4 linked regions of the Arabidopsis thaliana genome follow. The protein of the gene in region 2 purifies or fractionates together with the protein of the main gene of each other region. This does not show direct contact. Each region holds a gene or a part of one and is shown on either strand. Other genes may lie near its edges.

Region 1 (6,990 bases), on a different chromosome or scaffold from region 2:
TTTCTGCTCATTTGGCAAGGTTTGGTTCATCACAACAGATACCTCTCTGTCAAGTCAAGGCTGTGCAATTTTGACCACAATCTATCAAACAGAAAATTCATAGTACAGCGCTTCAAGAAAAGCTTGTTTTTTCTGTGCTTTGCCTTTCACTGACAATTTTTTTGGTTGTAGATTAATGGAGGAGCCAGCTGCATATGGAAAGCTGGGGCTGGCAAATCTCTTGGAACTTAGGGAAGAATGCTTAAGAGAATTCCAGTTTGTTGATGCCTATAGAAGCATCAAGCAAAGGTAAAAGATAGTCTTATCTCTCCCCTGCTTTGAGTTGCTCTTATGCTCTCTCTTTCTTCGAAATTGATAGGGAGAACGAGGCATCACTTGCTGTTTTACCTGATTTACTTGAGGAGCTTGATTCGATGAGCGAGGTCTGTGACCTTTAACCTTCCTCTCTTTGTAGGTTTATGGTTTGCTACTAAACGTTTCAGTGCTATACATGAGACAACTTTTCTTACTTGGTGTTTCAATTGTGCTCGGATTTTTCAGGAGGCAAGGTTGCTTACACTTATAGAAGGTGTTCTTGCTGCAAACATATTTGACTGGGGATCTCGAGCATGTGTGGATCTATATCACAAAGGAACCATTATTGAAATATACAGAATGAGTCGCAACAAGATGCAGAGACCGTGGAGGGTGAGAGACAAGACCACCCTTTTTCCCCGCTGAGGTTACTTTTTCCTAACTGTTAATTTGAAGCTGGAAATCTTTTTTGGTCCGTAAAATCAGGTAGACGATTTTGATGCTTTCAAAGAAAGGATGCTTGGATCTGGAGGTAAGCAGCCTCATCGACATAAAAGAGCATTACTTTTTGTTGATAACTCGGGAGCAGATGTCATTCTTGGGATGCTTCCTCTTGCTCGAGAGTTTCTCCGTCGAGGGACTGAAGTACGTGTCTCTCTCTAGCTCTTCCTATAGTAATCTTCTCTTCACAAAATCAAATGCACAGACCAAATGATTTCATTGTGAAATTAGTTGAGGAAACACTAAACAAAATGTTATTATGATTCCCCAGGTTGTTCTAGTGGCAAACTCTCTTCCTGCTCTTAACGACGTGACCGCTATGGAACTGCCTGATATAGTCGCTGGGGCTGCTAAGGTTTAACTTTCGATTCTGTGCAGTGTTTATGATGTTCTTTCATGTAACTAACTCTTTTGTTCGGTCTTTACTCTTGAAGCACTGTGACATCTTGAGGAGAGCGGCAGAAATGGGAGGCTTACTTGTGGATGCGATGGTAAATCCAGGGGATGGATCAAAGAAGGATTCAACGTCAGCACCATTGATGGTTGTTGAAAATGGATGTGGAAGTCCTTGTATCGACCTCAGACAAGTCAGCTCTGAGCTTGCAGCCGCTGCCAAAGACGCTGATCTTGTATCTACAAAACCTTCTCTGTTTTCTACCTGACATAAACTTCAAACACATCAAAAAAGAGAAGCTTTGTTCTTTATTTGATGTTTAACAATATTGCAGGTTGTCTTGGAAGGTATGGGAAGAGCACTTCACACCAACTTCAACGCTCAATTCCAATGCGAGGCTCTCAAGGTTTAAACCTCACTTGACAGAAAATTTCAGCTCTAGAACTGTTATTGAAACTTTTGGCTGAAACCTTCTCTTCCTTTTTGGCAGCTAGCAATGGTTAAAAATCAGAGATTGGCTGAGAAGTTGATAAAAGGAAACATATATGATTGTGTATGCAGATACGAGCCTCCCTCGCTTTAACAATGTTATGTATCATTTCTTCAACCTTTAGACTACTGTTGTATACAGATTAAGCATTCGTCATGTGGCATATGTATTTTTATTTAGACTACACTTTTACTGTATAAAATTGTATTTGAATGAATCAAAATCACTTGCTATAAAGAGCATCATGAGGGTTCAGTTACATTTCAAGAACAATAACGTTTAGTCTGAAATTATCGCGAGCAATTTCTCAACCATGATTCTCTGCTGAGTCCCACTTAGAGATTCCGAGTTCATTATTGCATTGGCCACGATAATGACTATACGTGGAGCTGTCGCATTTACCCAAACTCTGCCATTTAAGCCCACAGCTATCTCGAACGAGAGTTTCTTTCCAAGAGCCTCAATGACCGGGCGCGTTGGTGAATTCAACAGCCTATAAGAGATGAGAAAGTAAAGTTGTAATGGCGAAAGAAGATAGATAAAGTATAAGGAGACATTTTTTATGAGGAAGTATATCTCACATTCTTGAAAGACCAGTTGAAGTTTCAAACATGAAACCATCTCTCAAGGGTCCAAATAATGCAGCTTTCCCACTAGCTAATACATAGAAACAAGAGACAATTAGTTTAAAAGGGATTAAGAGAAGCAGCACTGTTTTAGCCTCCAAAGCTTTTAACTTACCCTCGGTACAAGACAGCTCCGGATTCATTCCTATGTTTGTCTTGACAACCCGGAGATAAAGCAGAGTGCCTACCTGTTTAGTACACAAAAATTTGAACATTCCAGAAACAATCAATTCATAGAGAATGTCATATCCCAAATGAGAATTCAAGAGAGCTTCCTGAGTCATCAGAATGTACATGCCTCAAACTTGGGAATATTTCTTCGTGTTCCTCCTTCGAATGCAAGAACTGGCAAAAGTGCTAATTGAGGTCCTTTAATGTCCACCCAAAAATTCTGCAATGACATGATGAGTAAAAGAAACAATTCAGTACTTACTAAGGCGATGTTAGTTCATGCAAGAAAGCTTAACTGCAGCTGATAATTTAAAAGTCAATTAACATTTGTTTGTCCAATAATGGTATCAGTTTTCTTCTGATTTTAGACCATAACTTCAATACTCCCACCTATTTATTTACTGATCCAAGACCATCAACAAACAAGTTCACCTTTATTGGCTCAGAGAAATGAGGACTGAAGTCGCGGAAACTGACAAACATATATTTGTATCGTATTTGACAACTAAAGTATAATAAAATGCTTTCAGAGATGACCAGTCTGAGAGGGATCCAAAAACAACACAAGAATCTATACAAGCAATGATTTCAAAGGACTTACATCTGCCCTAGAATCGACCACGATTCCAAGAACATGATCATCAGGGCGAGGTATATACTGCAAAAAAAAAACATAATAACAGAGTCAGCAACAAAGAGAACGAGACTTACATAGATAATTAACAAAACAATATTCTACTAGAGTTTTGAAAACCAAAAATGGTAAATTGTCTTATCAAGCCAGATGTATATGATCAAATAACTAGGGAGAAAACTAGCAAGAATGATCCACAAAAGCATCAAATTGTCAAAATGCTACAAAAGGCAAATCTTCAATTCTTCATGATGCAATTGTGCCAGGTTATTTGTTACTTTTCTACTCATGATTAATCAAGTGGACCTAGTATCCGAGCAGATGACACAGTTATAATCCACAAGAAGCTCAATAGAGAAGCAACCAGAAAGGGAAGATTAGTAAGACCACTGAGCTCACCCGTTTATGAGAACTTTCGAGCCAATACTTATTAGGCTTGGAGTAACTTAATTTGCCAGCTCTCATGGCAGAGATAGCATCATTATCCTAAAATAAGCCAAAAAAACAAACACATGTCAATCTACAATTCCTTTTTAGTTGCAATTGTATATCACAAATCAAGTGCCCACTGGAATAATTGTTAGGATTCAAACAACACATAAGAAAGAGAAGAAGATGAAACCTGAAGAAGGCCACTTCCGAGCTTGATTGTTTGGTTATTCATGTTTGACAAATCAAGAACAACATCACCTGGAACCTAAAAATTGAAAACACCATGCTTCATTGTAACCAAATCGAATCGAAATCATAAAAAAGCCAACTTTTTAGAGATATACGGACCACAATCTGATTTAAGAGGCTTGTGGGAGAGACAGAAACTTTGGCAGCCATGAGTGAGGTGGGTTTTGGAGATAAGAACCCTAATATATGTTAAACTCTGTTAAAGCTTGTTCCTTGACGACGATGAGAACCCAGAAAGGAACAACACTGCACAGTCTCTTCTTTTTTTTGCACGCAAATTTTGAACCAAAACTATACCGAACCAGTCAATATTAGGATTTCGGTTTACTTAAACCGTAAAACTAAAAAAAAAAACTAAGAACCAAATCAAAACCAAACCAAAATGATTTTTTTATTTAATACATGAATAATTTCAAGCAGAACATCTCTTAGTAACAGTGATTTGAAGACCATGTTTCATTGACAATATAAAACCAAGAGCTGGCACAATCTTCTGTCCTTGGAGAACCTTAATGTCGTAGTTTCGTAATATCTCCACTGCCACTATCTTCATTTGAGTCATAGCTAGATGTTTACCTAGACAAGTTCTTGGACCGGCATTAAACGACAAAAACTTGAAGGAAGGCTCATGTTTTATGCCTCCATTCTCCGAAATCCATCTCTCTGGCTTGAACTGCGATGCATCTTCTCCCCAAACCGCTCGCATCCTCCCCAATGCATAAAGACAGATAATAATCTTAGAGTTTGCATCAACTTTATGGCCACTTGGAAGCACATCTGATTTGATTGGAGACTTGCGTCCGAAGGAAACTGGTGGGTAGAGTCTCATTGCTTCACACAACGCACCATGTAAATACACCAACTTGTCTACATTCTCTTGGCTATTTCCTGTTCTTGATAGATCAGTGTTGATGTTGATCTCTTGATGAATCTTGGCTACCACATGTGGATTTTCAGAGAGAAGCCAGAAGAACCAAGAGAGAGCGGTGGCTGTTGTGTCTCTTCCCGCTAGAATGAAAGCTAAGATGTTGTCTCTAAGGAACTTATCGTCACTCGGATTCAAGAGCTTGTACTTGGTCGTGTCTAGCTTTATGAAGGAAGTTAAAAGATCCTGACTTCCTCCATTGGAAGTCCCTTGTGATCTTTTAATCTCTTCTCTCTTGGCTGATATGTATTTGGCACACACGCGGTCAAAAGTTGCATTAGCTTCAGTGAGCTTCTTCTCTTGTCCGAATCCTATCCAGTTTTGCAGCTTCCACAAGAACCTTGGTTTAAAATGCCTATAAAGAATCCCTTCTCCAACATCGTCGAGAGCTTTAGCAAATTCGTCTTCAGGCATTTCAATGGAGAGAGATCTAGGATCAGAACCAGTTACAAGGATGAAAATTGTATCGAAAGTGAACCTCCCGAAGACGCTTTGCAAGTCAAGAGTTGTTCCTTCCTCAGCAAAATGATTAAGAAGGGGAACAAGACCGTACTTGAGTTTACTTGTCATGGTACTCATTGAAAACCTTTGAAACTCTTGACTATGGAGCATGGCTTGATAAGATTTCCTCATATTCTTCCATAGCTCCGAGTCCGTGGTGATGAAACTGTCTCCTAACACATCAAAAACATCTTGGAACTCCGGTCCTTTGATGTAGTTTGAGAAATTTGAGCTCATTATATGATGAATGTTAGCTGGATCAACCGTGAGCAACATATCCATTCCTGTGAACCGCGGTCCTTTGAATGGAAAGGTCAAGTCAGAGGTTTCGAGAATCTTCACGCTGTAGTCGTAGATTCGGTGAAGCGCCTTGAGCATAGCGGGTAGCATCCGGAGAACCGGCCAGTTCCTAGGGTACCGGCCATGAGGTTTCTTGAAGAGAAAGTAATGAAGGATGAGAAAGCAAAGGATAGCTACGGAAACTTGAAGTAAGCTTATTGAAGCCATTGGAGTAAGGCAATTGATAACACACAGTTTGCTGACACAATGAGAACTAAATTTATAAGCATACACTTCAGGGCACAAGTAAGGAGATGCTTTTTAAAATACACACTAAATTTCGTTATATGCACAAACTGCAAAGCACGTTTAATGCATGTATATCATCAAATTAGAAACTTGTATTAAATTGCCAATGACACCTAACTTTTTATTTTTGTGATAATACACCTAAGTGTTTCAATAATTTGAAAACTGTTATAATTGCCCCTTGTAACTTTATCAACTAATCAAAACTTATTGAAACCATTAGAGAATGAGCTGGATTCACGCACATAGACTTTTGAGTGTGCTCTATGAGCGCTAAAGGAAATGTCATTAACTTCTTCATCCTGTCCAAAGATGATGATAAAGGTTTTTAGCATTTAATATTCTCTATCTAGTTTCAGTTTTCTTCCCTCAAAATTGCTTGCTATAAAGAAATGTCTGAAATACCTGGAGAAAGAAGCCACAAATTCTGCTTCAAGAAAGAAACATGCTTTATACTTGAGGACAATGATGATCAATTGACACAATTTGTATAACCTAAATCCTTACAATTCCAACTTTGTTTGCAAGAACTGAGTTCGGATCACAATAAATATATGCAACAGAGTGCAATACAATTATACAACAAACATACTTAATACACATCTTTTTGCCTTATGTACTCTCAAAAGGGTGGTGTCACGTGTGTGTATATATATCGATTACACAACACTCAGCTTCAACTAATTTGCTCCTCCAAGAGACCAACCGTTTTGTATTATAAAGCGACCAGTCCTTTGCTTATAGAGAAAAAAAAATGGCAGTCTATTCTCAGGTCAAAGCGACTATTATTATTATTACCTATCTCTTCAATGTTTCTCTTGATGCTTCATCTTTCTCATCACTATTTTCCTCATTCACATCTTCAGTGGTCTTTACGTCTTTTTGGAGAGCACGGAGCATTGCAGAGTTCACCTGTTTTCTCAATTTCGCATTCTCAACAAAAATGTTTGCCAGTATCTTCCTCAGCTCGTCCTCCATAATTCTTGTTTCAGTATCCATGCTGAGAGTTTTATCGATGTCTTCAGCAGCAGCATTTTCGTCAAACCCAGAAAGTAGCTGAGCCTGAAAATGGTCTAAATCGTTAAAACTTGTAAAATGCACAACGTTACAGTTTTCATTAGTGCAGCGGAAACCTAACTATCCTACACTAATAAGTAATAAATAACTTCATCCTGATGGACATAT
Region 2 (7,198 bases):
AAGCTGACTTGTAACCAATTGAGCAAAAGCTGGATTTGGATAAACCAAATCTCCAAGTTCCTCCAACGTGTAGTCACTCGCCGCCGTCACAAAGCCAGCTCCAGCACCGTTACAGTCAACATCAAGCCGTCCAGAGCTAGGATCCACGCGGAGTCTCCCGGCCAAGAACTCATAAGCGTCCATGAGTTTCACCAACGCCTTTCTCAGCTTCTCCGAGACCATCTCCGGTGGAAACTCCTTGTTAGGTCGGAAGAAATGAACTGTTTGAACGTCAAAGTTGAGAATTTGGTCGACGTTGGATAAGAACATGGATTTTCTCTCGCTGGTTTCTTCAGATGGGAAAATGAGTGTTGATTCTTTGATCGTAACCTTAAGATCTTCAAGAAGCAACGGTGGAGATTCTTGGTACGAAGAACCCATTTTGCAACCCTTCTCTCTCTCTCTTTCTCTCTAAGTTAATTAGGTTTTGAGTGAAGTTTGTGATTTGGGTTTCAGACTTAATCTATATTATATAGACTAACACGTAGTAAAAGGCGTTTTTAATTTTATCTTGGCTTTATGATAATGTACGTGTACATTATAGTATGAAATAATCCATGGAGAGTAAATTATTGATCCCATAATAAATGTGACTTTTTAATAAAAAAAGATATGGTACGGATCGTTACAAGAACAAACAAAGCAGTTTCGTGCTACGTAGACGTCGTTTTTATCCAGTCACATGAAAACGTTATTCTTTAAAAGCTAAAATTGTCACTGTTGTATTATTGTGTTGTGTTTATAGATTTGGGAAGAATGATGGGCTGCATTGGTGGGTGTGAGTAGGGTTGGTGATTTATGTTTTTTAAAATTTGATAGGAGAACTTTGATATGTCGGTGTAGCTACATAATATGCATGTGATATATCAACCTTTTTGTTGTGATATTTGCCAAACTTTGACTTCTCCATTTGTGGTTTATGGAATAATACGATTTTTACCCATTTGCAGTATCTCATTACGGTTACAAACTTACAATCTACAATTAGTCTAGTTTCTAACCTTTTTCTTGCCATATTAAAAGGCATGAACTCAAAATATGGCCGAATCCAAGCCCGGCCCGTTCATAAAAAAGCCGAAACATTTGTTTTAGGCCACCTAATATAAAAAGTTTTTAGGGCCTCATGTGTAAAATTTGTCCTACAATATAATTTGTCTAGTGTTATATTTATTTTTATATATGTCCAAATGTTTATATTATTATCAACTTGTTATTTAATTTTAAATATATCAATTATAAGATTTAAAACTTTTTCACAGTTTAAAATTTTATATTTTTGATAAAATTAAATTGTTTAACTAAAAATTAAATTAATCTATAGACAAACTTTTAAATTTGAATCCGATTTAGATTTATTTTAATTTTATTTATCATATAAATTTAAATAATTGTTTAAACATTTTAGCCGATGTAACGTTTTTTTATTAATTATTAATGTATGTCTATTTTCTTATATTTCGAATTATCGAATTAAATATTCTCCACTCTAATTATAAGATAAGTTGAATAAACTTTGTTTTGTTTTTAGTCTCGACTTTTTTTTCTTTACATTTCTTCAAAAAGTATAATAATTTTTAAAAACATTATTAAAAAAAAAATATTTCTAAAACGCAGAGAAAAAATTGAGGCAAATCTGTCAGTATAAACTTGTAATTTCATCGTCTCCGTCTTCTTCTTCGTTTATCAGTTCTTCGTCGCCTTTCGCTTATGAAAAATTCACACTGGTAAAGCTTCTTCCTTTACCAAACCCATTTCTCTTCTCTAGCTCCTTCTGGGTTCTCTTTTCGAAGAACCCTAGTAATCGCGAGAACCTTCTTCCCCCTTTCTCTTCGCAAAATCAGAAATCATAATCACAATCTCTTCGTTTTTTTTTGCAGTTTGCAGGGCTAATTTCTGCGTTATCGTACTTCTAATTTGTTGAGATAAACATGGCGAGGAACGCAATCTCTGACGATGAAGGTACCTTAATCGCTTCGTCGCAAACCCTAATTTTTTTCTGTGTGAAACGCCGTAATAATACTAGGGTTTTGTTTATTTCTTCTGATTTGTATGAAAAAATTGAATCCTTTTCTCTTTTGCGTAGAGGATCATGAGCTTGAGGATGACGACGGAGAGCCAGTTCATGGAGATCCAGCTGAGCATGATGAAAACGATGATGAAGAAGATGATGATGACGGTATAAGTTTTTTCCTTGATTTTGACTTCTCCCAGTGAGAAATGTGTCGTCTTTCGTTTCTTTTTGCTTACCACCCTAAATCTGGAAGCTGTAGAGTCTGATTGCATCGAAGGAAATTAGTGGTATGGTTTGGTTTAGTACTGAAGCGCATGCAGTTCTTTGTCTTAAAATCGATTCATTTGGAGAAATTCTGCTGCATTTGCTCCATTAGAAGATGCAGTGTCTGGATTTGGCAACCAAAAAAAAAAAAAAAGTGAATGCATCTTGTTTCTTAGATGTTTACTTATCTGCTGCAAAGTCTCTCCTTCTACCACTTCTTGTTTCTATATTCTCTGTTTCATACGGTTGCTTGATTTGTTCCTTTTTAGACTTCATGGTTTCTGCAAGTTTTGAGCTGCACACATTTCTCTCACCTTGGGTTTGAGTATTTTTTTTTCTTTTTCTTTCTAGGCTTTTTAACTTAGATTCAGGCTATTTTTGTTCCATGATGTGGGATCCGTATATCTGTTTTGTAGTTGGGAATGAGTATGAGAATGATGGGTTCATAGTGAATGATGAAGACGAAGAGGAAGAAGAGGAAGAAGACGAAGAAAGGAAAGATAGCGATGAGGAGAGGCAGAAAAAGAAGAAGAAACGAAAGAAAAAGTGAATATTTTATATCCTTACTCATTCTCTTAGATTTTATCCTTTTCTAACATATGAAAAACTAAATGTTAGTGTTGACATGCATGATACTTTTGAAGAAATGTTCCCTTAATTCTCAGCAGTCTTTATTTGTGATTTTCATACATTGTTTGTGATGAGTATGTAAGTTACCATTAGACGAACTATAGCAGGTCTGTTCTCTTTCTGACTAACCTTCCATTTATGATAATTTTAATAGGGACGAAGGTCTTGATGAAGATGATTATTTGCTTCTACAAGATAACAACGTCAAATTCAAAAAGGTTAGTCATATTTGTGTATATAACAATACATCAGGATTTTGTAGATACACTAAAAATATATGTGCAGTACTAATACATTTGACTTTTTTCTTGAACCATGACAGAGGCAGTATAAGCGGTTGAAGAAAGCTCAAAGGGAACAGGGAAATGGCCAGGGAGAATCATCCGATGATGAGTTTGATAGTAGAGGTGGAACTAGGAGAAGTGCTGAGGATAAGATCAAAGACAGGCTGTTTGATGATGTTGATGTTGATGGTAGGTTCTCTGTGCCTTCTGATACTATTATGTTGACTGTTGGCACATAGTTGACTATGTACATTTTGTGTCTACTAGATCCACCTGATGATGTAGGTGATGAGGAAGACTTAGTTGTGGAAGAAGATGTAGTTGGGAGCGAGGATGAAATGGCAGATTTTATTGTAGATGAAGATGATGAGCATGGTCCTCCTAAGAGGTATTTTTTTTCTGTCTTTTTTGTGCCCTAACATATCACTTATGTCATGTACATTTTCTGATTCTAATCAACTTACTTTTCAGGGGCAACTCGAAGAAAAAGAAATATAGGCAGGGATCAGATATTACTGCTATGCGAGATGCTAATGAAATATTTGGTGATGTTGACGAATTATTAACAATTCGCAAAAAGGGTTTGGCATCTAATCAAAGGATGGAAAGAAGGCTCGAAGATGAGTTTGAACCAACTGTTCTTTCTGAGAAATATATGACAGGGAATGATGATGAAATCCGCCAGCTTGATATTCCTGAGAGAATGCAGGTGCATTATCTTCTTTAGTTTTCTCTATGTATACTTGTGGTCTATGTTTTCTTTGGTGTTCAAGGATAGATGTAAAGATATCTTGTAAACTTTGACAGATATCTGAAGAAAGCACCGGAAGCCCTCCTGTAGATGAAATTAGCATTGAAGAAGAAAGCAATTGGATATATGCTCAACTTGCTTCCCAACTTAGAGAATCTGATGGAACTTTTGATGGGCGGGGTTTCTCGGTTAATAAGGATGACATCGCAAAATTTTTGGAGCTACATCATGTGCAGAAATTAGAGGTTTTGGATTCATTCTCTCGTTGGATTTTCTTTGATTCATTGATTAGCTTGCTAATGTTTTCTGTCTCTTCTAGATACCGTTTATAGCTATGTACCGAAAGGAGCAATGCCGGAGCTTGTTGGACACTGGTGATTTTGATGGCGCCAATCAAGGCAAGAAACCTGAGACCAAGTGGCATAAGGTAAGCAATTATCTTGGATAAACAACAAGTGCTCAGGTTAACATTTATTGTCAGAGGAAATTTGGTGGATTCTATACTATTTTCCAATGCAGGTCTTCTGGATGATTCATGACTTGGATAAGAAGTGGCTCCTTCTTCGAAAAAGGAAAATGGCGTTGCATGGTTACTATACAAAACGTTACGAAGAAGAGTCTAGGAGGGTCTATGATGAAACAAGACTTAATCTAAATCAGTATCTTTTTGAATCAGTCATTAAGTCTCTTAAAGTTGCAGAAACAGAAAGAGAAGTTGATGATGTAGATTCCAAGTTCAACTTGCATTTTCCTCCCGGTGAAATTGGTGTTGATGAAGGGCAGTATAAGAGGCCGAAAAGGAAATCACAATATAGCATCTGCAGTAAAGCAGGGCTCTGGGAGGTTGCAAACAAATTTGGGTATAGTGCTGAGCAACTGGGACTTGCATTGTCCCTAGAAAAACTGGTCGGTATGCTTTTATATTGTTTGATTTGCATGTTGTACTGGAATGGCAGTTCTGACGCTAAATGAGTTGCAGGTTGATGAGCTTGAGGATGCAAAGGAAACACCAGAGGAGATGGCTAAAAACTTTGTGTGCGCAATGTTTGAAAATTCTCTGGCAGTTCTGAAAGGTGCACGGCATATGGTATATACTCTGCAATAATACTATTTTTTGAATTGCTTAGCTGGGTTTAATATCAGAAGGACTTCCCTAATCACTAATGCGGAGATATCCCATTTTTCCTTGTTAGGCTGCAGTTGAGATAAGTTGCGAGCCATCAGTCAAAAAGTATGTCCGTGGCATTTATATGGAGAATGCAGTGGTCTCAACAAGTCCAACAGCAGATGGAAATACAGTAATTGATTCGTTCCATCAGTTTTCTGGGATTAAGTGGTTGCGTGAAAAGCCATTGAGCAAGTTTGAGGGTGCACAATGGCTTCTCATTCAGAAGGGAGAAGAGGAGAAACTTCTTCAAGTAACCTTCAAGCTGCCTGAGAATTACATGAATAGGCTAATTAGCGACTGCAATGAACACTATCTAAGTGTTGGTGTTAGTAAGTATGCTCAACTCTGGAATGAGCAAAGAAAGTTGATATTGGAGGATGCACTTCATGCTTTTCTTTTGCCATCAATGGAGAAAGAAGCAAGATCCTTGCTAACTAGCAGAGCGAAGAGTCGGTTGCTTTCAGAGTATGGACAGGCTTTGTGGAACAAGGTGTCTGCAGGGCCATACCAAAAGAAAGAAATGGACATTAATTTAGATGAGGAAGCTGCACCGAGGGTCATGGCATGTTGTTGGGGACCTGGGAAGCCACCAAATACATTTGTGATGCTGGACTCATCAGGTGAGGTGCTTGACGTGCTTTATGCTGGATCCCTTACATCGCGATCTCAAAATGTTAACGACCAGCAACGTAAAAAGAGTGACCAGGATCGTGTTTTAAAGTTTATGATGGACCACCAACCGCATGTTGTGGCTTTAGGAGCTGTCAATTTGTCTTGTACTCGTCTGAAGGATGATATTTATGAGGTAAGACTTCATATACCATAATGACACTATGTTCGTTGACTTATGCTATTGCAATGTACATGTTCCGAGTTTGATCTTGAGATAAAGGACCTATATCCATATGGTTCTGGATAACTGTGGTCACTGGTTTACTTAATTAGTTCCTCAGTGCCTACTTTGTAGAGACCTGGATTTTGTGTGTTTTTCATCAATACTTTCAAACTCGCTATACCTTTTTAGACTTCAACTGCTTTACCGAAAATGATAATGTTATATATCTGATGAAATAAGCTTAAGTTTCTGCTTTTATATCACTTTGTGAAAACTTAATCGCTGTGTTTCAATTTTCATAACTACTCCTCTTGAATAGTAAAATTTTGTTATGCTTTATTCTATATATCAGGTCATATTCCAGATGGTGGAGGAAAAACCTAGAGATGTCGGACATGGGATGGATGATTTAAGCATTGTTTATGTGGATGAATCACTTCCTAGGCTATATGAAAATTCTCGAATCTCGGGTGAACAGCTACCTCAGCAGTCAGGGAACGTGAGACGTGCAGTTGCTCTTGGACGCTATCTCCAGAATCCACTAGCAATGGTGGCAACTTTATGCGGTCCAGGTCGGGAAATTTTGTCTTGGAAGCTTCATCCCTTGGAGAATTTTCTTCAGCTAGATGAGAAGTATGGAATGGTTGAGCAGGTTATGGTTGACATTACAAACCAGGTTGGAATCGATATTAACTTGGCAGCTAGCCATGATTGGTTCTTTTCTCCTTTACAGTTCATTTCTGGACTTGGGCCTCGGAAAGCTGCATCCTTGCAGAGGTCGCTTGTAAGAGCTGGTTCAATCTTTGTCCGCAAGGACCTGATAATGCATGGACTTGGTAAAAAGGTTTTTGTAAATGCTGCCGGTTTCTTGCGCATCCGCAGAAGTGGGCTGGCTGCTAGTAGCAGTCAATTTATTGACTTATTGGATGACACCAGAATCCATCCAGAGTCGTATAGTCTTGCTCAAGAATTGGCGAAAGATATATATGATGAGGATGTCAGAGGTGATTCAAATGATGATGAGGATGCGATAGAAATGGCTATTGAGCATGTGAGAGATCGGCCAGCTTCTTTGAGAAAAGTTGTCCTTGATGAATATCTTGCCAGCAAGAAACGGGAGAATAAGAAGGAAACTTATAGCAATATCATAAGAGAATTAAGTTGTGGTTTCCAGGATTGGCGGATACCATTTAAAGAGCCAAGTCCAGATGAAGAA
Region 3 (8,697 bases), on a different chromosome or scaffold from region 2:
TTTCTCAATTTTATCGTGTAGACCATTCTCAAGCCTTGGCAGCATTTCCATCCAGTACTCCTTATCCCGGCCCCTCAAATATGAACCCAAAACATTAAGACCCAAAGGAAGACTATCCACATGTCTTGCAACTTGAACTACAAGCATCTCAAAACCTTCTGGTGGAGATTTTTTCCTAAAAGCAGATTGACATAACATTGCAAGAGCGTGTTGCTGAGTTGGGAGACTAACTTCATAAATATGATCAATCTCATGAGCCCTTAAGAAATGCTTATTATTTGTAACCGCAATGATTCTGCTCCCACTTCCAAACCATTGAGTTTGACCCACCAATGAATCTAAGATCACTTGGTCATCCAAATCATCAACGATAATAAGAACTTTTTGGTGTTGTAGCCTCTCTCCTAGTACACCTAGGTGGTCGATCTTTATGTCTGGCATCCTCAGAATTTCAGAGAGGAGTTTCTCTTGTAAATGTAACTTCATGTTGTGGTCGTCCGGATTGGCTCTACTAAAAATTTCTCTACTCTTATATACAAAAGCTCTGTCTATGAATTTGCTAACTGGGAAATGCCGAGAAAGTTGGTTAAACAGAGCTCTTGCAATGGTAGTCTTACCAATCCCCGAGGAACCCCATATACCAACCATTCTCACTTCCTCAGCTTCCAATTTCAACAATACACTCATATTTGCAATATGATCTTCGATGCCAACAAAATTTTCAAAGTCCTTGGGTGTAGTTAAAAGCAGTTTAGCCAAAACATCATTGGCTATTTCTTCAATCATTTTTGCTTCGTCATCCCTAATAAGGTTAAGGACAATTTTAAAGAATATGACATAATTTTATCTCAAGATGTATCTAATAATGAGTTAGTATAAAAACCATACCATGTCGCAGAATCAAATCCAAGCATATTAGCTACATCAGTCAACGCTTTCTTCCATTGGTTTTTCACTTGCTCTGTTTGTCTCTTGCAAGTCTTTTCAAAGATCTTTCCAAAGTCACCGATTTGATGCCTCACTTGGGAAGGATCCACTCCGTAGAAAACTGGTATGACAATTTTATCATTGCAATTCACAATCTCCAGCAACTCGTTAAGACACCAGCTCGATGAAGCGTAGTTTTTGGAGAAAATGACCACTGCGATTCTGGAATCCTTGATGGCTTGTTCAAGATCGGGCCAGAGAGAGTGGCTTCTCTCGATCTCATTGTCTCTGAATGCAGTGATCAGTTTCCGATCAAGCTCTTTGAGAAAGTGGCTACGGAATGTTACGCGGACGTCTCCCCCTCTGAAGCTCAAGAAAACATCATATAACCAGTTTCGAGAAGAAGATGAAGAAGCCATAGAGAGAATGAGAGGAGGAAACTATGAACAAAGACTTTGGAGATTAAGATTGTAATCGTACGTCTTGGTGATTTAATTATATAAAAATATTAAACACGGCCACAAAAGTCTTCACTAATCAGTTTCACTATTGTTTCAGACACAACTTGACGGATATTTCCAATTTGATGTCTTAATCATCTTTTGTACAAGGTCATAAGCAAATGTTTCATAGCCTCTAATGTCTTATCCCCTTACATTACTACACATACGTCTCACTTTATGATTACTTTAAGAATTTAGAATTCTTAGAGTGGAGACAAGTTTCTCTTGCTCATGGCCTTAACATTTCTGAGAAGCTCTGGTCTGAATCAGAGACATGTATGGCCTAACTACGTAAGTTTATTTAGTAACTCAATTGTTTTGACTAGGGTTGATAGAGAAACGTGTGCAGTAACCTACCAAAATAGATTTTGTTATTTGGCAACAAAAAAAAAAATAGATTTTGTTGTATTACTCTGTATACCAAAACTGATTTCAATCCGTCTTTGTGGAATTTAACCTGATTATATGTACAATTTTAGAAACGTATAGGATCCATCATGGACAAAGCAAACATGTTTTGGAAAAAAAAAAAAAAAGTAATAGAGACCAAATGGAAAAACATGGATCTTTTAGACGAGAGAGTTCCAAGGTAGTGATTATTAGGGTTTTGAAGTTGGCTTATATATGGCACAACTCTATTCTTACCATTGGGTTAAAACAACATATACACTATAATCTTGATGTCGATTACATATGTATAAAATTTGGCATAAACAGCTCAAGAAATTATAGGATAAATATGAAAGTATTTTATTCTCGGATTGTGCTTTTCGTTATAAATTCCAAATTTTATAATCAGATGCGTTTTTTTAAGCATTTTATCATCAGTTTTACTTCACTAGTAAATGCAAAAAACATAACGTATGAATAAAGATTTTACAAAATGATATTTTGGTTTCCAAGAGTTTACTACTACACTATTTTTGAGTTCTAATATGATGATGATGATGCAATCAATATTGATTTCTTCATATGATCAAATGATATGAACTTTGCCATCGCTGATCATCACTTTGTTATCATCTTGCAGTTTCTGCATAAAATCCACAATAGAGTAAAGTTATGAAGATATTGTATAAAAAGTTAAAGAATGAGAAAGCTTGTCTCTTAATTTGTGAATTACCTCTAAGAGAGCCATAATCTCATCTGCAGAGTAACGAGATGCTCCAACCCCATTGTTGTTGACAACAGTCTCTATATCTGCAATAGAGATGTCATCGAGCCTGTGTGTCCTCATGTGCTGCCCAAACACTCGCTCAAAGGTTTCAATCCTTGCTGCAGAGACCGTGCCGCTGAATTGCTCTACAGAAGGTTCATCTACTTCCATTGGATCTGCTGTTTCACTGAATGGACCAGCAAAAGAGAAAGAAAAAAGTATAAGGGTTGAGAAAGCTGTGATATAGGTTTCCATGGAGGAGATCAAATTAGTTTACCTGTCGACATTTGCAGTGTCATTCTCTGCTCCATCTTCATTATTCCTGCGTTGGTTGCCTCTACGTCCACTTGGTGTTCTTTCTTGTTCAGCTTGTTCCCTTTGACGTTCTTCTTGCTCACGATCATCCATCTCAGTTAATTCTTGATGATATATTGCAAAGTTCATAAGCTTCAAGGCAGCCTCTGCATCAGCTTTAGTAACCTTTCAAAATAAAGTTATCACTTTAGAAAGAATCTGAATAGAACATATTCACGACCAGGTGGGGAAACAGAAGATTTGAGTTAGATTGTTACCTCGCTACTCAACTTCATTTTGGCATGTGCCGTAGCAAGACGAATTATTGTCTCTAGAGTTCTGGCTGTTATCGGAAGCGTACCTCCAGTCTGCAGAGATTTCGATGGTTGTGTCAAATACAAGTTCCCAAGACGAAAAAGATACAGTGTCCAATGTTATTTTATGAAATAAATTACCTTAGTATCGGAACCTGCATTTCTGAGATCTGCATATGCTTCTGCAATACGTTCCGATGCCTGCAAATTTAATAACAAAAGAGATTTAGTGGAAGAGATTATCAGATACATAAAAATTTATATATTTGAGTTCACTGTCTCACTTCATCAGTGAGCTTTGGTGTAATACGGTGCTTGGCGTAATGAATGTACTTCTTCAAGAACTTAATCGTAAGGGTTTTATCATGTGTTTGGCCTCTTTTCTTCTTCCCATGTAGTGTTTGGTTATACTTAACAAACATTTCACTCTCAGCATTGTCTTCTCTCGCGTAAGGCAAGCTCCCATCTGGCCCTGCCTCACCTATGGTTCACTCAAAAGTCAGATGCGTTTCAAGACATGGGTTGTGAAATGTTTAGTAAAACATAGAAGCATGATTTGTTTCCTACCTCTATCGTTCTTGTAACGATGCATGCGCAAGACATGTTCTGAAATCATGCTGTCGATACCAGCATCCATTTGATCCAACACAATAAACAGTAGATCAAAACGAGAAAGCAGCGAATCTGGAAGTCCAATGTTCTTTGTTGGAGTCAGTGATCTGTCATACTGCAGGAGCAAGAGTAGGTATTAGGACAAAAAAATACTAGTCAGTAGAGTAAGTAGATTAGGAAAACTTCGGTGAGAACTTACAGTTCCGTATATGGGATTTGCAGCTGCAACCACACTGCATCTAGCATTCAGTGATGCATGGATACCGGCTTTTGCAATTGTTACAGTCTGTTGCTCCATCACTTCGTGTATAGCAACTCGGTCCTGATCATTCATCTTATCAAACTCGTCAATGCACACGATACCTTTATCAGCGAGGACCATTGCACCAGCTTCTAGTCTTCGTTCCCCTGATGAAAATGAGAATTTGATTTTAATGAGAAATAGCACTTTTGACCTTCCTTCAAATTTTGATTTTAGCATTTGATAAAAAAATGTGGAAACGCTTTTGTGTGCTTTTTACCTGTTTCTTGGTCAGAAGTCACAGCAGCAGTTAACCCAACACCGGAAGAACCACGGCCTGTGGTTGATATAGCCAAAGGTGCAATATTCATTATCGCTCTCAGAAGTTGAGATTTGGCAACAGATGGATCACCAACCATCATCATGTTGATGTCTCTGAAAGCACAAGATTTGTTTTCAAGTGAAGAAAGAAAAATGAGTTAGACAAAAAGTATCCAATGAGTCGAATCTGAAATCTGTTTTCAAGCAAGACTTACCCCCTCAAGTGGGTTCCGTTCTTCAGGTTCTTTTCAACACCACCAAGCATCAGTAAAACTACTGCTTTCTTTATCCAAGCGTGCCCATAAATAGAAGGTGCTAAGGAACGAGCAAGGAGATCAAATGCATCATCTCTTCGTGCAATATTTTTAATGTTATCTAGGTCTTGCTTAGTGTATATAGGTGCATTTGCTTCTTTATTGAGCAGAGCGATATTATTGGCTATGAGGATAGTCCTACACAGAAAGAACTCGGTCAAGACTATCAGAGTGAAAACATCTTGAACTAACAGATGTGTAAGAAAACGCACCTAAAGACTCCATTTACACTACCCTTGCTTTTTCCAGGAAGAGCTTTGTAAATACCGAAAACAGATACTCGATCTCCTGGCTTGCATGAGTCAACAAGGTCATCCTCAGCAATGACATCAACGCTTCGTGGAAGCTGACCAGGAGCAGCATTTTCAGGCACTTCTTGAATTGACAAGGTCTGGTGATCTTTGTATTTGCACAGCCCATACTCAGTCACCAATAAGTTTCCCTTATCATCCTGAACAAAAAAAAACTCAATCTTCAGTAAGAGGCAAATCTTCCAGCAGTACAGGTAAATGAACAAAACGAAAACAAAAAACATGTAATTACCCTTGTGGGATAGACAGAGCCAGTGGGTAAACCAGCGTGAGATGTTATGTCTCGATAATCTCGATTGGTAAATTCACCGGTTGATGGACAAAAGTGAACGCTTTTAACAACCTTTGGCCTCACAAGAGAGCCTGAAAGCAAAGCATGTGTCAGAGGTTCAAAATCTTCTACGTAAAACACAAAGGAAACAGAAGAAAAGCAGAGGAATAGAGTGAAAATGATGAGCTTACATTTGGTGACAATGCCCTCAACACAGACCATAGATCCAATAAAATCAGAGAGAAGCTCTCTAGGAGTAACAACGCGAGAAACAAAATAACCTTCAAAACCAACAAGGACAAGCTCTCCTTCCTTCAAGTATTTAGGGTCAATAGCACGAGTAGCTTCAGTGGCTGCGTCACAAAATGACTGCATATACTCATTTGGATTCTTCAGTATCCTATCCAAAAAAACCAAAGCAATCAACTTTAAGGTCACAAAACATATGACAATTGTAGTGAATCCTTAAAAATCCCCAAATTAACCTCACTGAATCTAACAAAACCCTAAAATCTGCCGTAAATTCATAACCTTATACTAAAGAACCGATTAAAAATTCGAGGAAGACAAATTGAGAAGATGACGAACCTAGAGGCAACTTCCCTGAAGTGGTGGTGAATGTCAGAGATATTAATAATGAGACGGTGACGCTTTTGATGTACCAAAGCCTTGATTTCCTCCATATACATCTACACAATCCGTAAAAAAAATCCAATTTTTCAAATTAGATAAGAACAGAAGCTCGAGAAATGTCTGGTGAGAAAAGTGATAGAAATCGACTTACACTATCGAGGAACTGGATAAAATCTCGCTTGTGGCGAAGCCTCGTCTCCTCTGGCACATCCATTTCTTAACAAAATCTGGGTTCTTCGTAAGAACTTTTCTTCTTCTACTTAAAAAAAAAAAACTGATTAGAGATTTTCGATTTCCGATTTCGAGAGGCATAAAGGGCGGATCTTCTCCTTATGGCGGGATTTCGTGAGATAACCTGTACCCTTTTTGGCGGGAAGGGTCATTTTGGGCCGATATTAGTTGGGCCTTTCGTCTACGTGCTTTTTGATTAACCAAATTTGGGCCGGTACAATTTTGGACTTACGTCTACGCGCTTGTTTGGCGCGTTTGATTTCCTCAAGGCGGTATAATACACCCAGATTCTAAACCAAAAACCAGACATACCAAATCAATTCATTGTAAATTCGGTTTAACTTTTGCTACTGCCTTCAAGCCAGTAAACCGAAAAATGTATATATGAAAACCAAAATAAACCTGTGTGATTTGAGAACATTTTCGGATGTATCACAACATATGTATAACTGAAAAAAAATTCAGTATAAATCTAATTTCTTCGAATGTAAAAACACGACAAGAATTGTTGAGAAATAAAAGATGAGAATCCCCTAATTGGATTATTCTGACAATAACACCGTTACTACAAGATTCTCTCAGTTTCTGTTTTTATAAATTACGCAAATATGGAACGAACTAAGATACACAACATTCCGCAGACAAGAGAGAGAACAAACAAAATCTGAAATCTCAGCAACCGTAAGAAACGGGGAATGAAAGAACCGCAAAAGGCCAGAGGAAGAGCTCCAACTTGTGAACCAAGAAGCTGCAAGTGGTGGTGATGGATGATGATAGTAACCGATAGGGCAGAGAATCTAAAAGGTATGAAGAAATCAGGGTTTGAAGGCAGAGAAGGCGACTACCGAGTTGTGTCCACCGAACCCGAACGAGTTTGATATGGCTGCAGCAAAACAGAAAGACATTAATCAGTGAAACTGTTGCCAGTTTAATCCAATGAGAAGGCGGTCATGTTTGTCACTTACCAACATCAACCTCGTGTTGCTTCTTCTCGTTTGGGACCGTGTCAAAGTCCACAGCTTGTTCTGGGTTCTACAATGAGAAAACAAAGAGTGTGAGAGTCTAATACAATGACCAAGTTCAAATCTTGCAACAGTTCAAACTGAAAGCGGAATCAAAGAAGCCTTTTCTTGACTTCCTGTTATACGTACAAATTGGTTGATGGAAGGATGCAGCCATCCAGTGTTGATAGCCTTCACGGTGGCGATGGCTTCTAGACCTCCAGCTGCACCGAGGCAGTGACCTATCATAGACTGTAACAGAAACTGTCATTCACAGGAAATGCAAAGCAAACAAATACATTGAAATAGAGGAGAAGAAGAACACTCAATCATAGAGCATTGGGGACGAACCTTGGTGGCGTTGATTTTGATCCCTGAAGTGCTCTTGAATACCTTTTTAATGGCATTAATCTCAGCAAGATCACCAGCAAGAGTGGAAGTTGCATGTGCATTGATGTAATTTACCTGAAAAACGTGGAATGAATATAAGTAGGGAAGTAACACGAATCTAATGAAGAAATTTGTTTCAGATAGCCTTAAAACTTAGGAAGCATGAAAAGTTTGTGTTTTTTACCTCCTCAGGTGATACACCAGCATCTTCCAGGCATCTTTCAATGCATGAAGAAACCCCAAGACCATCAGCTCTTGGATCAGTCATATGGTGAGCATCACAATTAACAGCACCTCCAAGATATTCTGCTACAATTGGAGCACCACGTTTCATTGCATGTTCCAAGCTTTCCATCACCTATTAGGGCATACAACAATTAGTGGGTCTCTCCAAAACAAAATGTCACATGTATGAGCCAATCTCATGGTGAGATAAACCAACTTTGAAAATGTAGTACAATTCAAGTGCAAGGAAACTTCCAGAGCTAATAGACTAGGGAACACAAGTTTCATCAGATTCTATAAACTAAGACCAAAACAGGCTCTTATATACAATTCAAAACAGAGCAAGCCAAATGTATGTAGATTCATAGTATCAATGAGAGATTAAGAATTTGTGAAACATACCAGAACACCAGCTCCTTCACCCATAACAAACCCATCTCTTGCTTTATCCCACGGCCTGGAAGCAGTTTGAGGGTCATCATTTCTCTGGGACAATGCCCTACAAGCAACAAAACCTCCCAACCCAATAGGAATAATAGCAGCCTCAGTCCCACCAGCAATCATCATATCAGCTTCACCACGACGAATGTGATTCGCAGCAGCGTAAAAGCAGTAATTCGAAGTAGCACAAGCAGTTGAAATCGAATAGTTAGGACCCATAAGACCAAGATCAATCGCCAACAAAGCAGAACCCATATTTGTTATAGCATAAGGTATAAAAAATGGACTAATCCTCCTATGACCCTTCTCAATCAAATTCTGAACACCTTCTGAAAACACAGTTAAACCTCCCATTCCAGTCCCAACTAGTACTCCAGCTTTCCTCTTATCAATCTGCAACAAACCCAATAACCAAAAATCAAAACTTTGACTCCTAAACTCTTCAAAATCAAAACTTTATGATCAATTTCAATTCAAATGTTACCGTGTTAAGCTTATCACCACCAAGATTG
Region 4 (7,675 bases), on a different chromosome or scaffold from region 2:
AGCTGATGTAAGATTCTCTCAATCTTTCTCAACTCAATGATATTCAACATGATTTGTAGTTGTTTTTGGTCAGTGTGATTCAAACAAGTTAACTGCAATGTGTTTTATGGCATATGATTTACAGCTCAAAAGAGCATTTCCTAGGAAAAGTTTTCCATCAGCTCCTCCTAAAGGATTTTTGCGTGTCAAAAGTAGAGATATGTTAGAAGAGGTATGCATTCTCTTGTGGAGCTATGTTGTTCTTTTCAAATTTTCTCTCTTTCACGCTTTCCTGCTTTTGTGGTTCCTCAATCAAGAACATTTTGACGCAGGTTTCATGTAGAAGTATATGTAAAGTACTGTACTCAAGAATTATATTACACTCATTTTAAAGATGTGGTGTTGTTGCAGAGAAGGTGCTCTCTGGAGGATTGGATGACGAAGTTGTTATCTGATATAGAATTGGCAAGAAGTGTTGTAGTTGCATCCTTCCTCGAACTAGAAGCTACTGCTAGGTCTGGTATGAGCCCATTATAGTATTACAGTTACCGTTTGATAAAGATTCTTAAAGGCAGTTAGTTAATCTATGTTTAAGTAAATGTGCTTAGTCTTTCACTATAATTTAAAGTTGAATTTTTTTTTGTTCCAGCATGCCAAGTTGTAGATCAGAATGCTTCCGATTCCAATGATGATGGAAATAGCACAAGCTTGTCGTCTCTAGTTCACCCAAATTCTGGTGGCAGTTCTTTGCTCTCATCTGACTATGGCAGCGATACTGCTTATGAAACATCTGAGCTCGGATCAGCAAGTTTAGGTCAGGATGATGTTTCTGAAACTGATACTGGAGATCTAACTTTGGATGAAGATCTGACAAATCCAACAGAGAAGCTTGTAAAGTTTAGCATGTCCAACATTGACGAGGGACTGAGTATGAGTCAAACTATTATCGAGCAGCTAGAAGATTTTCCTAAGCACAGAGTCCATTTAGGATATGCCAATGATATCACAGAGACGAATTCGTACAATGGAAAAGCTTCTAAAGGTGTATTTCGAGCAAACAACGACTTACGGTGTCGCTCTGAATCAGAAACTAGTCACTCAGTGATGCATGATCGAAAGCTTTCTCTTGAGAGCGCTGACGGGGTTTCGTTACTAGCCGGTGAGACATCAACCTCTAGTATCTTGAGCTCCATTGTACATAGCCAGCTGGATGTTAATCATGATATATCTGTTGGTAACCTGGAGATACCGGGTAATGGACGAATAGTTCTCCCGCTGAAAATGCATAGTAAATTAAATAGGATTCTATTAACTATGAATGAGAGACTTCTCAATTCAAAAACAGACATGGAGGATCTTATAGCGAGACTAAATCAAGAGACAGCGGTGAAGGAATATCTGAACAGAAAGGTACATGATTGAAAATAATAGTACATCTGTTTTCAAGTTTGTTGGTAATGAAATCTGCGCTTCTTCCTTTACTCTTCATGCGAATGTCATATATGTAATCTTGGTTTTCCTGTTCAGGTTGATGATCTGGAAGTGGAACTTGAAACTACTAAACAGAGAAACAAAGAGAATTTGGAGCAAGCTTTGATGACCGAGAGACAGAGTGTTACCAAGATGCAGTGGGATATGGAAGAACTCAGGCAAAAAACTTTTGAGATGGAACTGAAGTTAAAGTCAAAAGAGGTATTGAAATTTGAAATAGTTCCATCTCAATCACATTCTTTCCACAATTAAGCAAGTTCACATCGAGCGAGTAATTTATATCTAGCAAAGTAACTTACTGACACCTGCAAACTAATACAGGATGGGAGTTCAGATTCTAAGACGTCAGGAAACTCAACAATCTCTGAGAGCCATGAGCTGTTACAAGAAATGGATGCCACAAAACAGCAACTGGAAGATCTTTCTAGACGGTATGTTGAACTGGAGGCAAAATCAAAGGCAGACATAAAAGTGCTTGTCAGAGAGGTCAAATCCCTGAGACGTTCACATATGGAAATGGAAAAGGAACTGACTCGATCGCTGACAGAGAAGTCTGACACTGAGGTAAATCTTAAGCTTGTAAATAAAAAGCATTATATTATTGCTTGCATCATCCGCTTGTGGTAAATGTATATGATCCTACAGAAAGAACATCAAAACATACTGAAACATGTTTAATTTTTTCAGAAACTCCTCCAACAGGAAAGGATAATAGTCGAGAACACGCTAGAAGCAAGAAGAAGGCTGTATAGTGACTGTGAAATTCTCCACGACAGGCTTAAAGTGAACAACACAAACTTGTCAATGGATGAGTCCAGTAACAACAGAGAAGACTTATCTGAAGTATCAAATGCCTTGCAAGATCAGATTGAGGTAAGCTATTGGTGCATCTCCTTTAATATCTGTAGCAAGAAAAATCGTATTCAAATGTTTACATTCGATAACCATGGCTCAAAATCGCCAAGCTGGATTCCTCGTTTTAAATTTGAAAGTGGCATATTTTCAGGCGCAACTGCTGTTAGGGTTTGATGAGACTGCTTCTGAGGATGAGCTGAGGAAGATAATGGCAGATATGTATGAGGACTGAGGAGAATATCAAATTGAGAAAACATTTGAATTCCGCAATGCAGGTTAAGAGCTCTGTGAAAGAGGAAAACGAAAAACGCAGAAGGTGAAGAGCTTATAGAATAGATATACCATGTACAGAGAAAAGTAGAGCAGAAAGTTGGTTAGTGACGTAAATCCCTTATTTTGAATATGCGAGTCAGATTCTTCTTTATGTAATTAATTGATGTATATGCACACACATGTCTACATCAGATCACCTAATCCATTGTAAAATTCGAAACCATCAGTGTCATTGTTTCTTGTTCACCAAAAACAACTACCATCCATCACTCATGGTCCACAGAGCAGTCGTTGAAAATCAGTGAAAGAAGTGTCATTTTGTCCCAAAAAAAAAGGAAGGACGAAGGAGACTTTTTAGTTGACCAAATCATATGGATCTACTAAACCGAAATAAACCACTCATAACCATTATAGTAAATTACTTGGTTCGGAGTTTTTAATTTCCGATCGTCTTCAACATCACCAAAGCAAAAAACTTTAGGGTTTTAGTGTTTTTTAGGGTTCTTCTTTCTCTCTACCTCTCAGTTCTGCTTTTGCTCTGTCTCCCTTCATTGGATAAATCAATTGGTGTTGTTAGCGAAGAAATAAGAAAGATGGGTACTGAAGTTTCTACCTCGCCGACAAGCCTCATTGATCAGACTGTTGTGCGTATTTTCTACTAAAACCTCTGCTTCTTTGATTATCGTTTTAGATTGGGATTACATTGAAAGATTAAGTTTTGTGAGATGGGTTTCAGGTTCCAGGTGATGTTGTTCTCGATTTATCAAACATGACTAACCAAACAATCAAACTCGGCAGTGGTCTCCGTCAGGTTTTTAACTTTCTCAAAATCACTTGTTCCAAATCTTCGATCATTTTTTTGGAGTTTGAAATTTGTTGTGTTGAGTGTATGAATGAATTAATGAATGTTTTGCTCATTATTAAACAAGTTATGTTGAATTTTGGATCTTGCATTGGCATTTGAGGAATAAACTTAATTTGGAATCTACAGTTTGCTTTTTGTTGGGCTTGCAAGGCTAGAAGATTGACATATGATTTTGAGGTTTTTTCAGGATAATGAGGTGATATCTGTTATGAGAGCTGGGAAGTTGAGGTACTCTAAGCCAAATAAGTATTGGGTGGAAAGTTCTCATAAAAGGGTGAGAACTAATTAGTTTCTTGCTGGTTGTATTTTGCAATAAATTGGTACCTTTTTCCTGATATCTCCTAGCTCTACTAGTTATTCGATTGTTCATCTGCGCTTAACTTGTCGAAAAAGTGGTGGTTTTGCTCTCTAGTTTGAAGAATTACTCCATGTTACTCGATTTTGACTCTGTTATTATGTTTTTTTTGCAGTATGTACCTCGTCCTGAGGATCATGTTCTTGGCATTGTGGTAGATTGTAAAGGAGAAGTAAGTACTCTAAAGACGATCCTTAAATTTTTGTTAGAGATCCTTTTCCCTTGGACCCTCTGAATCAAGCATTTTTTCTCTGTATACAGTTCATTTAATGCAAAAATCATGTATAAAGAATATTGATTTCGGTTGTGCTCTATCATTATCCAACTTCTATCATTGCTCAGCTTGTTTGTTAGTTACATGTATATGTTAATAAATACTTGAGATCATGGATAAAGAAAACGGCATAAGCCTTTATTTAGAGTGTTGCCCCTAGAGTTCTCAGCCAAAGTCATGTTGCATGTAACAAAGTAGATCATAATATTTTGAAAATCGTTTTGACACATGTTTCATTGCAGAACTATTGGATAGACATTAAAGGACCACAATTGGCTCTTTTGCCTGTGCTTGCATTTGAAGGAGCAAACAGAAGAAATTATCCCAAGTTTGAGGCAAGTACCTTCTGAATATACTTCTTCAATCTGAACCATCATCAAAATAGTCTCTAGCTGGTAACTGCATTCAGTTGTTTGAGATGTTAGTATTGCCATTACAGTGTATTGAGAATTTCCCTGGAAATTACAATGGCTTGTGTGTGATATTGAAAGGATCCAGTACTTCATTGGTTTGTTTATGAGCATAATAGGCACTTTTACTTCGTCTGGAGTTGAGCTCATCAACTCTATTTCAAGTGGATTCGCTGTATTAAGTGATAACATAGTGATCACGTGTTTTTGGGAGTTGTGACAATTTGTTGATACAGGTAAGCACTCTGCTTTATACTCGGGTTGTGAAGACAAACACAGGAATGAACCCGGAGCTGTCATGTGTAGACGGTTAGTCCATCCATTCTTTTTTCTCACAAAGTTTAAAAAGTTAAATCATTTCCTTGTTTCTCCGCATTAATTGTTTAGACTAAGCAATTGCTGACTAGAATTGTTGGACAATGTAATAGAAAGTGGAAAGGCTGCAGGATTTGGTCCCTTAAAAGATGGTTTCATGTTTGAAACTTCAACTGGTTTATCTAGAATGTGAGTTTCACTCTTATTCCTTTATTTTTCTTCTAGATGAAGTGGCCTCTTCTCGACTTTTTCTCACTCTTACACTTTGTTCTTATTAGGTTGTTGAGTTCACCAACTTGCCCGGTCCTTGAAGCTCTTGGAAAGAAACTCTCGTTTGAGACTGCGTTTGGCTTAAATGGGAGATGTTGGGTAAGAAAAACAGTGATTGCTTCTTAAGAATCCAAACAATGCAACTGGAAATCGCATGGTTAATATCTTCTGTCTGGTTTCAGGTGCATGCGGCTGCTCCTCGTATAGTGATTATCGTCGCCAATGCGTTGATGAATTCTGAAACTTTAAGCGGGACACAACAGAGAATCATGGTAGAGAAATTGCTGGAGAAAATTTCAGACTGAAAAGTGTGTTGTATGCTTAACAGTATCACTACTTTATAAAAGAAACGTTTTAATTCGCATCTCTTTTTTTAGTATGTAGACTACACTCATATGTTTCTCTTTGAGATAAAAACAAACCAAGATTAAAATTTAAAAGAAACAACATGATTCGTCTAACGATAAATTGATAAGTTTTGGGAGATGGATTAGAGGAACTAGGGTTTGGCAATATTAATTGAAAAATCAATCGATACCAATACAATAACAGTTACAAACATTACGGTGCCTTCATAGCAAAGCAATTAATAAGAATTTATTTGACAACTTCTCTCTTATATATAAGTCTTCAGATTTTCCTACTTGAAACCAAAACGACATGGAGAGACGCGATCAAGACTTGAGTTACTAAAAACGGCGACTAGATTCTACCATAACCGGAGATTTCCCAAACCCTAAAGGCGAGGGTTGTTCTACAGTCGTCCTATCCGACTCTGCTGTGAAGAAGTTTTCAGACAATGTCGTCTACAGATTGTACACCAAGGGTTTGGTGGTGGAAGGTAAGGAAAAGACCGTGAAGTCTGGATTAGAGTTGCGATTTGCGATGAGAAGGAGAATTTGTTGTATGAGATTAAAGAATCACTAAGCGACACTAAGATTAGCTGCATAGAAGTAGAGAGCATGGCACTGATTCGTGGGTTAAGAGAATCCTTCGATTTGGGGATCAGACAAGTCGTGGTTTATTGCGATGACCAACTGCTTTACCAATATGTAAGTGTTTTCTCTTCTTTGTTATTGCTTTAGTTTAGTTCTTGAAGTGTGGAAATAGTTAGAGGCCAGATTGGTGATTTTGCATGTTAGAATATACTTTGAATTCTTTGGAATGATGATATAATGTCTTGGTTTTAATGAGAGTGAATTCTGATTTACATTACAGATTGTTGGTCGAGGGAAGATTAAGAAGAAGGTTGTCCATCTTGTGGACGAATTTCAACTTCTTCTAGAAGAGATGACCTATACTGACGCTGATTTGATTGCCCTTAACGATGTTAATTTTGCTTTTAAACTTGCAAGAGAAGCCATAGTTTCAAGGGACGATGTGAAGGCAGAGATATGTAGCATTTGTTTTGAAGAAACCGAGGGCGAGCGCATGTTCTTTACCACGGAAAAATGCGTTCACCGTCATTGCTTTCCTTGTGTGAAACAGTATGTGGAAGTGAAGCTCCTAAGCGGAACTGTGCCCACATGCCTTGATGATGGATGCAAGTTTAAGCTCACCCTTGAAAGCTGTAGCAAGGTTTTGACATTAGAGCTGATTGAGATGTGGAAACAAAAGATGAAAGAGGACTCGATTCCCGCTGCAGAGAGAATCTATTGCCCATATCCAAACTGCTCAATGCTAATGTCCAAAACCGAGCTTTCTAGTGAATCCGACCTATCCAATGACCGTTCTTGTGTCAAATGTTGTGGACTCTTCTGCATTGATTGCAAAGTACCATCACATTCTGATTTGTCGTGTGCTGAGTACAAAAAACTTCACCATGACCCTCTAGTTGATGAGTTGAAGCTAAAGTCTCTAGCAAAGGACAAAAAATGGCGTCAGTGTAAAATGTGTAGGCACATGATCGAACTTTCTCATGCCTGCAACCACATGACTTGCAGGTATATATTTATTTAACTCGATTATTCTACATCATTCGAGTACTTTCATTTCGTAATGTTAAACTTTGTGCATTCATTGTGTAGATGTGGATATCAGTTTTGTTACCAATGTGAGGTTGAATGGAAGAATGACCAAAAGACTTGCTCTTCTGGTTGCCTACTAACGGGACATGGTTATTATGATGATTATGATTATAATGAACCGGAATATGATTTTGAAGTAGATACATGTAATTACTATTCTGATGAAGAAGGTCGTCGTTGGCCTAGCTATGAAGAATATATTGATCAGCAAATGGCAAATCCAAAAATGATGTTAACTTTCTTATTTACTCCTTTGTTTCTTAAACTTGCACTGTATTGTTGTATTTGACTTTGTTATATGGTTCTTGAAGCTATGACGCGCCGAGAGATGATCAGGATGTGGAATACTGAGCAGTTTTTCAGTGAAGAAGAGAATGCTGATGGAAATGATGACAATTGGGACGACTACAACAATTATGGCGGTTTAACTGTTTTCTGGAGGCTTTGATGAGAACTTTTTCAGGGATTATTATTCTCTTTAATTTCTGCTTGGATCATCAAAGACATTAGTTTGTTTTGAAATACATTCCATCTGATATTTTTAAGAATTTTGAGACACTA

Evidence for each region.
Region 1: the proteins of GTB1 (region 2) and AT4G32175 fractionate together in Arabidopsis thaliana (co-fractionation; one large-scale study listed by BioGRID). This does not show direct contact.
Region 3: the proteins of GTB1 (region 2) and MCM3 fractionate together in Arabidopsis thaliana (co-fractionation; one large-scale study listed by BioGRID). This does not show direct contact.
Region 4: the proteins of GTB1 (region 2) and AT2G25355 fractionate together in Arabidopsis thaliana (co-fractionation; one large-scale study listed by BioGRID). This does not show direct contact.

The regions. Positions count from the first base shown.
Region 1 is NC_003075.7:15,532,506-15,539,495, reverse strand, and holds AT4G32175 (PNAS-3-like protein), read right to left. Parts: upstream 4,063-6,990; 5' UTR 3,942-4,062; coding exon 3,891-3,941; intron 3,808-3,890; coding exon 3,733-3,807; intron 3,597-3,732; coding exon 3,510-3,596; intron 3,135-3,509; coding exon 3,078-3,134; intron 2,697-3,077; coding exon 2,604-2,696; intron 2,494-2,603; coding exon 2,421-2,493; intron 2,337-2,420; coding exon 2,261-2,336; intron 2,173-2,260; coding exon 1,959-2,172; 3' UTR 1,894-1,958; downstream 1-1,893. Other genes in the region: PANK2 (pantothenate kinase 2), read left to right, coding at 1-19, 172-288, 359-422, 541-687, 781-939, 1,067-1,150, 1,230-1,424, 1,524-1,595 and 1 more; CYP96A2 (cytochrome P450, family 96, subfamily A, polypeptide 2), read right to left, coding at 4,204-5,724; AT4G32160 (Phox (PX) domain-containing protein), read right to left, coding at 6,604-6,867.
Region 2 is NC_003070.9:24,309,097-24,316,294, reverse strand, and holds the start of GTB1 (global transcription factor group B1), read left to right. Parts: upstream 1-1,655; 5' UTR 1,656-1,763; exon of another isoform or gene 1,764-1,836; intron 1,837-1,916; 5' UTR 1,917-1,967; coding exon 1,968-1,998; intron 1,999-2,122; coding exon 2,123-2,215; intron 2,216-2,426; coding exon of another isoform or gene 2,427-2,468; intron 2,469-2,730; coding exon 2,731-2,860; intron 2,861-3,098; coding exon 3,099-3,162; intron 3,163-3,266; coding exon 3,267-3,417; intron 3,418-3,495; coding exon 3,496-3,616; intron 3,617-3,699; coding exon 3,700-3,937; intron 3,938-4,035; coding exon 4,036-4,224; intron 4,225-4,298; coding exon 4,299-4,406; intron 4,407-4,498; coding exon 4,499-4,885; intron 4,886-4,958; coding exon 4,959-5,066; intron 5,067-5,172; coding exon 5,173-5,952; intron 5,953-6,334; coding exon 6,335-7,198. Other genes in the region: GLC (HXXXD-type acyl-transferase family protein), read right to left, coding at 1-420. UniProt on the Arabidopsis thaliana protein: Transcription elongation factor that enhances the transcription elongation by RNA polymerase II (RNAPII).
Region 3 is NC_003076.8:18,767,496-18,776,192, forward strand, and holds MCM3 (Minichromosome maintenance (MCM2/3/5) family protein), read right to left. Parts: upstream 6,209-8,697; 5' UTR 6,112-6,208; coding exon 6,049-6,111; intron 5,954-6,048; coding exon 5,853-5,953; intron 5,665-5,852; coding exon 5,456-5,664; intron 5,357-5,455; coding exon 5,226-5,356; intron 5,134-5,225; coding exon 4,895-5,133; intron 4,821-4,894; coding exon 4,584-4,820; intron 4,483-4,583; coding exon 4,328-4,482; intron 4,215-4,327; coding exon 4,006-4,214; intron 3,922-4,005; coding exon 3,762-3,921; intron 3,676-3,761; coding exon 3,479-3,675; coding exon of another isoform or gene 3,467-3,478; exon of another isoform or gene 3,396-3,466; coding exon 3,336-3,395; exon of another isoform or gene 3,249-3,335; coding exon 3,159-3,248; coding exon of another isoform or gene 3,147-3,158; exon of another isoform or gene 3,067-3,146; coding exon 2,864-3,066; coding exon of another isoform or gene 2,860-2,863; exon of another isoform or gene 2,774-2,859; coding exon 2,554-2,773; intron 2,464-2,553; coding exon 2,407-2,463; 3' UTR 2,154-2,406; downstream 1-2,153. Other genes in the region: AT5G46270 (Disease resistance protein (TIR-NBS-LRR class) family), read right to left, coding at 1-802, 889-1,367, 1,584-1,595; KASI (3-ketoacyl-acyl carrier protein synthase I), read right to left, coding at 6,944-7,011, 7,094-7,160, 7,232-7,381, 7,481-7,594, 7,704-7,877, 8,147-8,578, 8,670-8,697.
Region 4 is NC_003071.7:10,798,200-10,805,874, forward strand, and holds AT2G25355 (PNAS-3-like protein), read left to right. Parts: upstream 1-2,891; 5' UTR 2,892-3,191; coding exon 3,192-3,242; intron 3,243-3,334; coding exon 3,335-3,409; intron 3,410-3,650; coding exon 3,651-3,737; intron 3,738-3,933; coding exon 3,934-3,990; intron 3,991-4,334; coding exon 4,335-4,427; intron 4,428-4,738; coding exon 4,739-4,811; intron 4,812-4,930; coding exon 4,931-5,006; intron 5,007-5,095; coding exon 5,096-5,186; intron 5,187-5,269; coding exon 5,270-5,392; 3' UTR 5,393-5,523; downstream 5,524-7,675. Other genes in the region: AT2G25350 (Phox (PX) domain-containing protein), read left to right, coding at 1-7, 125-211, 391-499, 629-1,389, 1,507-1,671, 1,792-2,034, 2,158-2,499; AT2G25360 (RING/U-box superfamily protein), read left to right, coding at 6,050-6,139, 6,306-7,030, 7,115-7,284, 7,426-7,562.